Oryzias latipes: one gene and its partners. Each later gene encodes a partner of the first gene's protein in a complex. Links are inferred from orthologs where the notes say so. Each region holds a gene or a part of one and is shown in the gene's direction. Other genes may lie near its edges.

Region 1 (3,654 bases):
CTCTATACGAGAATTTGGACACTTTAAAGGCTGCTTTTATTGTCTGTAAGAAGCAAGACAGTTTGTCTTGCAGACAAGACAGAAAATTGGCATTTTGGTTTAGCTGATGCCAGAGAAGGCCTGAAGAAGGTAATCCATATCCAGTTCCTATAGTAACAAATAATCAAATGTTTTAGAAACTAAATTTGCTCCATTTTTAGTCAACTGAATGAAAAAAAAACATTTCTGTCATTTCTTCCTAACAGCTGCTGTTGTTGGCACAATGCAGAAATCCATGTGGCGTGTGCACTTATCAGTGGGAGGCCCCTATGAGGACTTATGAGAGTTTTTTTTAAGGAGAATAAAATGTCCTGGCCAGAAAAAAAATGTTTTGTTCCCACAGCTGTATGTGCAGGACAGAATGTCTTACTTTCTCATCAAGAATGAACCGCCAGTAACTCTTCTGCACATAAACTTACAAATCCACATCTTTGGGCTGACTGAGAGGAGGAAGAACGTATTGGGACTCAGCCGTATTATTATTGATTACTAGACTGAGGCCTAATTTTCAACCTCTTACCTTCTCTGCTTTGCTAAAGGGTTGTCCAGGATAATGTAGAAATGTTAATACTGTAATCACTCCTAAAAAAAAATTTAGGAATTCACTGTATATACATGTCAGTATGCATGTTTCAGGGTTAATATATTGTGCAAAATCAACATAAGAAGTTAGGATTACATTTAATGAGCTGTTGTATAGTATCGTTTTAATGTTGTACTGTATATGTATTAATAATCTCAGAAATGGCAATTCTTTAGAGCCACATGTTGGCTACAGTAGTAAAAATTAATTTACATTTAGTGAATGGAAGAATGAAATGTTATTGTCAATGGAGTCAGATGTCAAAATGGCATCACATTTGATTAAATTTTCTTTTAAATTATTGCCAAGAACAGTGGTTAGTCATAATTGAAAACAACAACAACACATACTGTATTTATTGGACCATTATTAAAAATAAAACATTTTAATGAAATTTTCCCCCTATTGTTACCTTTGGGAACTTGATATTCCACTTGGAAAAAAGAAATTCCAACATCTGATGAACCAATTTCTAAAGAGCATGCAGGTTAAAGACCAACTCTGAGGAAAACTGTGTTTTTGGTGTTTTAGCATGTTCTTGTGGCATTTTTCTGATGATGGAGGACATGAACATATAGAAAATTAAGCCTTGTCTTCGCTTTCCTCGCCCAAGCTGACATCTGGTTTTAAAACTGTATGCTTGTACATGGATCTAGTTATCTACAAGTGGATGCATCAGCAGGGAGCTTGTGGCTTGCCGTAGTAGCTTCTGCAACACATTTATAGGCTTTTTCTAACTGCAATTTGAAGCATAATTTTCTTTTTATATGTCCTCCATCATGAGAATAATACCACAACTATATGTAAAAAACACAAAAAACTATTTTTTCATTGGAGTGAGTCTTTAAGAAAAAGAAAAAGTGCAATTTTCTCAAAAACGTCGTTATTCAAAATTCATCACATGTCTTCATCGGGAAAAAAGCTCTTATTTTTTCCTTAATCTTGTTTTCTGTGGTGCCACGTTGGTTTTTCCATTAGATTTTGTAAGGGAGTAAGAAAGGAAACAACGTGTTGGTGCTTTACATCAAACATTTATAGTCTGGCTTCATTGGTCCACATGTTGTTTTAAAGCAGCCCCCCAGCTTCTCAGCCTTTCACATTTTTTGAAAGCTGAAGATAGGCAGCAGTGTGCTATTTGGGATGCAGTCATTTTTAATTAATTCCCCTACTTTCACTGCTCACAGAGATACAATATTGGATCATCTATTTTTAGGACCTGTTTGAAATATTATTATGTTTTTGGTCATATTTATGCAGTAAAGCAGAGAATTTGTTCGCTAACTTGGGCCTTAAATGATGGCAGCACTAAACACAAAAATTAGGCTTTGAATTGTCAGACAACTCATCGTTCACATGTTCACATCATAGCTTTCTTTACTTATTTACACTTTGTGACCTGATGCTGTGTTTACAGATTCTTTGCCAATAACAATGCTTCGCAATCTTCCTCTGGAATAATGAGCCCCTCACAAGCATATCTGAGGGAGTTAAAAGCAGTAAAACAGTGCTGTTTTGGGGAACTTGGAGCATTTTAGCATTTTAAAGACGTAATTAGGGCAGATCTCAGCAGTAGACAGAAAATGAAAGCCAGGTCTCCATGCAAATCTGTTACTGTTTTGTTTCCAACAAGCTGTGAACAGCTGCGCTTCATGGCATCTTATCAAACACTTAAAGAATAAATATGTGGGAGAAAGTGTGTTAATATTAACATAAAGGAAATTTGGCGAGGTCTTGATGTTTCATAAAATAGTGCTGATTACTGGTTATTTGCTACACTGTACACATCTGATAAACACTCACTCTTTCATCTTTATATCCAATGCTTCCATTTTTCTACCTCCTATGGTCTATCCGCCCCTTTTTTTCTAACGTTTCCTCCTCCTTTGTTTCCTGCTGCAGCTGTCGTGGAAGGGGACAGCTTTGAAGAGGTATATCACAAAGTAAAGACAGTGGTTGAGGAACAGTCGGGGCCTTACATCTGGATCCCAACTCGGGAAAGGCTGTGATGCTGCCTCCGCCCAAACGCCGCTCCCTCACAGCCACCGACCCGACACCGCCCTTCACCTTCACAGCCAAGCCGGCCTCGCCTGTCTGTCTGTATGTCTGTCCTACAGCAACGTCAGAGCTTTGGCAATCACTGCAAAACAAAGAGGCCGACACACAGGAAGCAACTCAGCGAGGCAAAGACAGATACCAAAAAAAGAAACTGCGCAGATGTGAACACAGTGAAAAGATCTAATCAGTATTCCACATAGATGAAACAGGACTGAACACTGAAGCCCTGAACACACTTAGCATTAAATGCACCTTTGATACGAGCTATGATTGCATCTAAAACTGGGGGAAGGCAAACGTCCTAAACGCTTTAGTGATGCTAAATAACCCGTGTGTGTGTGGGTATGTATGTTTGCGTGGTTTTATGCATATTTAGAAGCCTTTGCATTTTCTCACCAGATCAATAGCAAATGAAGTGAATTTAACACACAGAGGGACTAGCTGCAACAGATCTGAGTTGTATTTTCACGCCAGGTTCTCCACACCGTCTAGATTTTTCTGGACGACAGGCAGCTTGAAAGAGAGCAGGGGGGGGGGGATTTGGCCTAGCACAGATGAAGTGTTAAGAGCACCTCATCCCCTGCAGTCATCTCAAGTCTCATGCCTGCACTGAACACCTCCTAGCGCCAATGCCTCCTGATGTTCAAAGAGATACTGGCCCCTTGTTTTATATGGTCTCTTGGCCTTCTGACCTCCCCCTCGACCTAACAACTCCCCTTCTTTCAAAAAAGGGTGCAAGACCGGGAACTGGTTTGGGACGGGGGGATCTGGCAGATGCCACGAGTCTTTTCTTAGCAAAGACCTATGTTTTATAAGACTCTTCTTGGTCGCTGGTGTGAGCTCAAATAACACCTCAGAGACCAAGACTGACTTTTGTTGTATCACTCATCTTAAATATTGCAAGTCTTTATTTAAAGGAAGTTCAAATAACTATAAAGATAATCACTCATTATGCTGAATTTGTGCATGCATTCTCA
Region 2 (3,654 bases), on another chromosome or scaffold:
AAAAAATCCTTCCAACTACCTAAAAATAGTATTTTCATTGAAACCTGGATTTGGAGACCGAACAGGTGACACTGACAGTTATTAGGAGGAAGAAGTCGAAGAAAGTTTTTCTTTTTTTTTCTCCCAGCAGTGATCTTATCAAATCATTTTAGAGCAGCATATACATAGCTTGATCCATTTAGAGATAAATGTGCAGGATATGGCCGCCCTTCCACATGCTCTGCGTCTGTCCAATCCAGACAAGAAAATTGTGAATTAAATGCCCACCTGTCTGCCACATCCCTGCTTTCCTGCAAATTGCCAGCACCACTGTTAATAGCAAAAAGCTATTGCTGTTATTGATTCCAGCACGGGCTGCACTTTTCTTTGAAACCATGAGGCTCCTCATGTTTCAGATTTGCTTTTCAAAGCTAAAGAAAAACCTCAAAAATAAAATTGCATACTGTAGGGTATTTCTACTTTAATATTTATATATTTTAAGTTCCCGATCCACAAGTTGTTGCTCTTCTTCCTTTCCTGCAGAGGTGAAGCCAGCAGCCCCTCAGAGCAGGCGAAACACTCTAAGCTGCCTGAAGGGGGCCGAGCCCAGCATTCTGCTCAGTGCCTCCACCTCTGACAGCATCAGCATCATTCCCAGCTCTGAGGTGGCGTCACAGCTCAGTTCTCCAGCCGCTGGGCCTGGCCGGAGTGATGCGTCAGGTTGCCACGGACGACGGGGGATGATGCAGGCCATAAAAAATGAGAAGCGGGCTTCAAAGGTGAGAAGGAAATGTTGCACTACAGGTGACCATGCTCGCTACTCACTTGAGACCCAATCATCTAACAGATCTTACTTACTTTAAAGGGAATTATATTAAAAGATTGACAGGAAAAACTTTCAAATGTCTCTCAGCTTTTACTCTAGATAACTTTGAAAGATTACTCAAAATAATCTGTCCTTTGGGCAACACACACATTGAGAAGACCTTTTGCGCGATATTTTCTTCTTCTTGATGCCTCAAAGTCTTGATCAGTTAACTGTACGGCAGTGGTTTTTGTGTAGACACAGACATGCTTCTTGCTAAATGTAAACCACCTTTAAAGACCCACTCCAATGAAATTTGTGTTTTTGGTGTTTTTAACATGTTCTTGCGGCATTTTTCTGTTGATTTAGGACACATATGAAGGACATATATGAAGCTTAAAATTGTATTTCTGAGTATTTTTTTATTTAAAACGTATATCAGGAACAGACATAAGAATGGTGTTTGAACAAGATTTGTGACGTAGAAGGCAGGCCACGAGCTCCCTGCTCCGCCCCATTCTGATGCATGCACGTGCAGACAAATAGATCCATGTGCGTCTTTGTTTTTCTCGTTCAAGCTGGCAGCTGGCCCAAAACTGTACGGCTGGATAGCTCCAAAATTGATTTTGTTAGGTTGGAGGTATGAGAGGCTATAAGCTAGCAAGAGTGTGTAAACACAAAGCTCTCAATAATGGGGTGGGAAAAGGGACCCAACCGACCCTGGTTGCTCTGCCCCCAACTCAGAGGCAAATTTCTTATGAACTCCTGTCGCTCTGCAGAAACTATGTCCTATAAACAACAAAGTTTTTTATTTTTATTTTGCCTTATAACGGTATAATCATAAATAAAAGAATGCTTTTACAATAGATCAAAAGATTATCAGAGACTGGAAGACTGGAAAAAAGTAAATGACTGCATGTTGCCTGGTTTAGATGTGTCAGAAGCACCTGTTCAACAGAGAGGAAAAACTCATGCCACATTCACATCGGGCATGTTCAGCATATGGGTTGTTGCTACACAATACTAGCACATGTTCACCACCTACAGTTGGAAGAGGCTTGGTGTGAAATGTTGAAGTAAAATGCAAAATCTCTAGACCAGGGCTGCTCATTCCTGGTCCTCGAGATCTACCACCCTGACTGTTTTCCAGATCTCCAAGCCCTGCTATCTGCTGATTAGCTCAATCAGATGTCTCCAAATTATGATTTAATGAACACACTTGATCCAGGTAATCAGCAGCAAGCAATGCAGGGAGAGCTGGAAAACAGGCAGGGTGGCAGATCTCGAGGACCAGGAATGAGCAGCCCTGCTCTAGACTCTTGCTCCAGGCTTTTTCTTTCACAGCTCTATTCTGATATATGAAAGACTTGGTGTCACATAATACCGGCTGGGCAAAAGCCACAATTATTAATTTCTCCTCCACGTTCAATTTTCAAACAGTTGGTACTTCCGTGAATTAAAAGGCAAACCATTCATCATTACCAAATCCGGAACCCTAATTAGTTAAAGTTCGATCTGGTGTAATTTTAAAGCGTGTTTATTGGATGCACATTTTATAAGTAAAGCCCGATAACTGTGTTAGAAACTTGTGTAGCTATAGGTGAATGCAAGAGTTATGAACATGGTAGCGCAAAATGTGCCTTTACCCTTGTTTACTGTTTACTAATGAAAAGTGGCCATTTGAACGCGTATTGCCAAGGACGTTGTGAGTGTCGTTGTAGACTGAAACTTTAGGCAAAAAAAGGCAAAGCTTGTTAAATGTTGAGCTTTTCTTTGAGTAAAAAGCCCTGCTGGATGTCGGAGAATTTAATCACCTGACTGGTTTAATATGATGGAAAGGCCAAAGTAACTCAAATATCCCTTCTTTACAACAAAGGTAGCTGGAGGACATCATCGCATTCACAGACAATGGCAACAGAAGACCACATCAGCTGTCACAGCTGTCAGCTAAGAACAGGAAAAAAGGCATCAAGTGACACAGGCACCACATTTCACAACAGACAAAGTGTTCAGGTGGCAGTGTCAGACTTCAGAGACCATATCATGAAAACAAGCACCCAGTTTGTTTTGTGTCAAACACAAATATGATTAATTTACCAGTCGATCTTCGTTTGAATACTCCCCTATCGTCATGAGCTCTGGGTCATGAACGAAAGAACAAGGTCCCGAATATCATCGGCTGAAATGAGCTTCCTTTGTAAGGTAGTTGGGCGCTCCCTTAGAGATAAGGTAATAAGCTTGGTCACCCACAGAGAGCTCGGAGTAGAGCCATTGCTCCTCCACATCGAGAGGAGCCAGTTGAGGGGACTCGGATATCTGATCCAGATGTCTCCTGGACGTCTCCCTGGGGATGTGTTTTGGTTGAGAGAGACTGTGTCTCTCAGCTGGTCGGGGAATGTCTCGGGGTCCCCTCAGAGGAGCTGGAGGAAGTGGCAGAGGAGAGGGAATTTTGGGCATCTTTTTTTATGCTGCTGCCCCCCCAACCCGGTCTCGAATGAGCGGAAGAAAATGGATGGATGGATGGATGGATGGATGGATGGATGGATGGATGGTTGTTTTTTCTTTCTTAAACCATTCTACATCACACATTCATCGTATTGTAGTCCAGTTTAAGTAGATTTACTTAATTAGTGCAAAACTAACAAGCATATGGTGTCACACTGGAACGTCTCTACCCAATACTTGCACATGTCTTTGAAGCTGGAAGAGGCTTGTTGTGAAATGTCCAAGCAGTGCAAATTTCTAGAATCTTGCTCCAGGCTTCTTCTATCACAGCTCTCGTAGAAGATACGAAAGACTTTGTGTTATATAATTCCAATAACACAAGTTCAACTGTTTCAGCTTTCATCACCAGATCAACGGCCATGTGT
Region 3 (3,754 bases), on another chromosome or scaffold:
AAAAATGAACAATTTTTATATGTAAAAGCTCAGAAAAATTATTTTTTTATATGAGTTTGTTGTAGCAGAAAAATGTTAATAAGCAACAATTGCATATAGACTGTCATATGAATTTAAAATGTTTAACGTGAAAATAAAGCACTGTAGCAAATGTTTATAAACTCAATTAAAAATGTGTTCAAATCAGAAATACACATTTCTAATTATTACTGAAACGTCCATTTGCAAATTTGTTTTTTAAAAACGAGACAAAACGTTTACGAGTAAATAATAGGAATTAATTGTTTTGAAAAACCTAGTTTTCTATTATTTTAAATTGTGTAATAATTATTTCTGATACTTCTCTCATATACGTATGACTATTTGGCAAAAACCTTAAACAAATCAAGCACATTTCTTTGGGTTTGGACAAAATAAAGACATTTCCGAGGGAAGACATTCTGACCTTATATCCAAGTGTATTTTTTTTAGTGGACGGTGTGACGCCGAGGAGCCAGAAGACGACGACACTGACAGCATTCACAGCACCGGATGTGCAGTACAGCCACAACAGGTGAGTGCCGTACACCGAGAAGCTTAGAACAAAAACTGCAGGTAGCACCGTAGCCATGAACATCGAAGCGGCGATCAGAGCGTGGGTCGACACCATGGCTCTGATTTCGTGGTCCCACATGATGAAGACTTTCACTTTTCACAACAAGACAATAGAATAATGTAGATAATTTCAGTAGAGGTGTCTTAGAATTTTGGTAGGCGAAAGGACACGCAAATCCATGTATGACTACGCTTCCGTAAATATGAAAAAAAAAAAGCAATTTCCGTTTGCGTTTCACAATAAAACAGAAGATTCTCTTTTGATTGTTAATTTCTACCAATTTCTTTGTTTTGACATACATTACCCAACATATTTAAATCATATTCAACACTTTATAATAAAATACTATTTTCTAAAGTGAAATTTATATTTTCGAGTGCTGATTCCGTGGCGAAAATATTGTTACTCTCATTTTACTTTTATTCTGGATTTTAGAAATGCGCTTCTAGTCGGAGTGAACGAATCACATAACGTTTTACTGACAGGATTACCCAATGAGATTTGTTTGTACAAGTTGACGAAGACAACCGGAAGTTACATGAGCAGAGCTAGCTTGAACGCTTGTACACATTTTATATCAAGACAGGCCAAGTAAACGCAGCTGAGATGGTTTGTGAAAAATGTAAATATCGCACTTTCGCCTTGTTTCTTACATAATTTTACACTTATGACTTAGTTAATATAGTTAGTTAGTGACATTTTTGTTGTTTTGTTGAGTGGCTAATATTTTGTTATGCTAGCATTTGTTTTGGTTTTCCTTGCTCGTAGTTAGCTTTGTTAATTATTAATAATTCTTTGTTAATGTGGGATTTCCTAATATTTTAGGCGAAAAGAAGCTCGGAAAGGTCATCACTCCTGACACTTGGAAGGATGGAGCACGAAATACGACTGGTAACGTAGTCTCTATCCAAAAACATCCAAAAATGTTTACACGTTTAATAATTTAGACAATCGTGGAACGACAGGTAAAATAAATATGTTGCCCCCAAAAAATCTGTCTTGTAAATGAACGTCATTAAGGAATCGAAACGATGGAAGGAGAAGCTACTGCTAAAATATTTATTAGAACAGTACTCATTTACATATCTGTTTTCCCCGTCGGTCGGTCGGTCGGTCGGTCGGTCTGTCTGTCTGTCGGTCTGTCTGTCGGCTCATTTTCGGCCTACATCATAAAATTGTCTATTTATTTAAAAGTATTTATGCCCTACGTTCCTTTTCAAGAAAATGGTCTGTGACCCTGTCGTACCAACTAGGTGTCTCAACTGACTTGACCAATGTCCTCTCAATGGCCAGCAGAGCTAGGCTGCTTAAACAGCCTTAGCCCATTGTGTTTCGGGTGTAGGACTTAAGTCACTTTAAACAGGAGAAGCTCCTTTCTACACCTGCAGATGTAACTCCAATTGTTGCCACTAATGAGAACAGTTTGTAAAGCTGAGGCATTGGACTGTCCAACTCCATGTCTTTAAGGAACACCAAGTAATCATACAGCTTTCCCCTGTTACCCTGCAAGTCCTGATCTGAAAACAGGACTTGAAGTTCTGACCTCAGTCTTCCTGAATCAAAGGGAAGAATTAACTATCTAAAAAAAAATATTAAACTCTGTAAAACTGAAACAATCAATGTGGTGTATAATTGTGTGAAATGTATGATGAAAATCAAGCAATTTAGCCCAGCAATTATCAAAGAAATAGGTTGCAGCAGTTTTTAGTTCGACTGAACTTGAGAAATGTGAATAAGCGAAAAGCTTCAGTCAGAAGGCGGTCTTTTAACAGACCCTTCAATCATCACGGAGAAGCTCGGAGTTTGGGCTGGCCCACTCCCCACTCACCCCCAGAGACGCTGAGCATCCGTTGGCGGGACATAATCACAGCGTTTATCCAATGACCATCTAGTTTCGAAGCGCAGAAAAAAAATGTTCAAAGCAGCCCGATTGAAGTCAATGGACGCTGGGCTTCTTTAGAGAAATGCACTGTGATGCTGCGGGAATGTATGAGAAGGAAATCGAGTCAGGCGACTTGCTATATGTAACTGATTCTTAACGAACTCGTCTTTGAGATGAACGTTTTCTTACACATTTTTAGTCAATAAAATGTTAATAAAATAAAATACAATACAATACAATAGTACATATTTGACCATTTATTTTGTGACATTATAAGGGAAGCAGAGCTTCCCTTGCAGTCTTAAAGAAATCGCCACTGGTATGTATGTATGTACATACATGTGTATATATAATCTCACAATGTTGTTTTATTTTTCTTAGAGAGTGGAGGCCGTAAACTAAATGAAAACAAGATGTTGACATCTAAGAAGGCCAGGTGAGTATTGCACTGTGAAAAAACTTTTACTCATAAATCAAATGGCAGTGTAGTAGTTTCTAGCTTTCTGTAAGCACTAGTGGTTTATTTTGCTGTTAAGGTTCTTTGATGTTGCTAATTCTCAATGTTTAACTGTGGTTTTTCTCAGGTTCGACCCTTACAGTAAGACGGGCTTTGCCATCTGCAGAATCTGCAAGAGCTCTGTTCATCAGCCTGGATCGCACTACTGCCAGGGCTGTGCTTACAAGAAAGGTATAGTTGTGCACTTAAACTCTATTTTTATTTTCTTCAATACAAATTGAAGGTAACATGTCAAAAATTAACACTACAATGTATTGTAGAACCAAAAATCATATTAAAGCAGAACAGTATTAAGTAGGTTTTTCATTTTTATGTTCAGTCATAATATTGATATAAATTTGTCTGTAATTTTGTAAATCTTTACTATAACCAACATTGTGCTGGCATATGTTTGTGCTTCCATAACAGATGCCCATTTATATAAATGTACACATGTTGGCAAGTCCTTTATTATCTTCTCACTACACACTTTAATTTATAAAATATCCTTTGATGTAAATGTAATTTTTTTAGGGTTCCTGGTGACTGATACAAAGAATTTAAAGGTATAGGAATAGGTTAACTTAACTGTTTGTTTATGTCTGTAAAGTATTTGAACTGAGTGATGAAATTCAAACCTCAAAAGCCATATTTTTACAAACCTCGACCCCAGCCCCAAGCACTCGGCTTGCAGAAGTGGATACAAGGTTTTACATTGATTGCAGAATTGCATGTTGTGCCCCAAATATTGCAGGTTTTGATGAAGTGGTCAAAAATAGCC

Evidence for each region.
Region 2: the proteins of disks large homolog 4 (region 1) and 5-hydroxytryptamine receptor 2C-like are in contact, whole or in part, in an NMR structure (PDB 2MHO), measured with the Rattus norvegicus proteins. The link is inferred for Oryzias latipes from reciprocal best matches to the Homo sapiens genes DLG4 and HTR2C. Residues at the interface, in NP_062567.1 of Rattus norvegicus: Gly74, Leu75, Phe77, Ser78, Ile79, Ala80, Asn85, Pro86, His87, Ile88, Thr97, Lys98, His130, Val134, Leu137, Lys138; in NP_036897.2 of Rattus norvegicus: Val452, Val453, Ser454, Glu455, Arg456, Ile457, Ser459, Val460.
Region 3: the proteins of disks large homolog 4 (region 1) and cript are in contact, whole or in part, in a crystal structure (PDB 5HED), measured with the Rattus norvegicus proteins. The link is inferred for Oryzias latipes from reciprocal best matches to the Homo sapiens genes DLG4 and CRIPT. Residues at the interface, in NP_062567.1 of Rattus norvegicus: Gly322, Leu323, Gly324, Phe325, Asn326, Ile327, Val328, Gly329, Gly330, Glu331, Asp332, Glu334, Ser339, His372, Glu373, Ala376, Leu379, Lys380, Arg399, Phe400; in NP_063972.1 of Rattus norvegicus: Lys94, Asn95, Tyr96, Lys97, Gln98, Ser100, Val101.

What each region holds. Positions count from the first base shown.
Region 1 is NC_019872.2:14,414,381-14,418,034, forward strand, and holds part of disks large homolog 4, read left to right. Parts: intron 1-2,521; coding exon 2,522-2,628; 3' UTR 2,629-3,654. UniProt on the Homo sapiens protein: Postsynaptic scaffolding protein that plays a critical role in synaptogenesis and synaptic plasticity by providing a platform for the postsynaptic clustering of crucial synaptic proteins.
Region 2 is NC_019876.2:20,439,900-20,443,553, reverse strand, and holds part of 5-hydroxytryptamine receptor 2C-like, read left to right. Parts: intron 1-522; coding exon 523-758; intron 759-3,654. UniProt on the Homo sapiens protein: G-protein coupled receptor for 5-hydroxytryptamine (serotonin).
Region 3 is NC_019877.2:12,481,009-12,484,762, reverse strand, and holds the start of cript (cysteine-rich PDZ-binding protein), read left to right. Parts: upstream 1-1,088; 5' UTR 1,089-1,201; coding exon 1,202-1,217; intron 1,218-1,420; coding exon 1,421-1,486; intron 1,487-2,858; coding exon 2,859-2,913; intron 2,914-3,061; coding exon 3,062-3,165; intron 3,166-3,754. Other genes in the region: pigf (phosphatidylinositol-glycan biosynthesis class F protein), read right to left, coding at 446-673. UniProt on the Homo sapiens protein: As a component of the minor spliceosome, involved in the splicing of U12-type introns in pre-mRNAs. Involved in the cytoskeletal anchoring of DLG4 in excitatory synapses.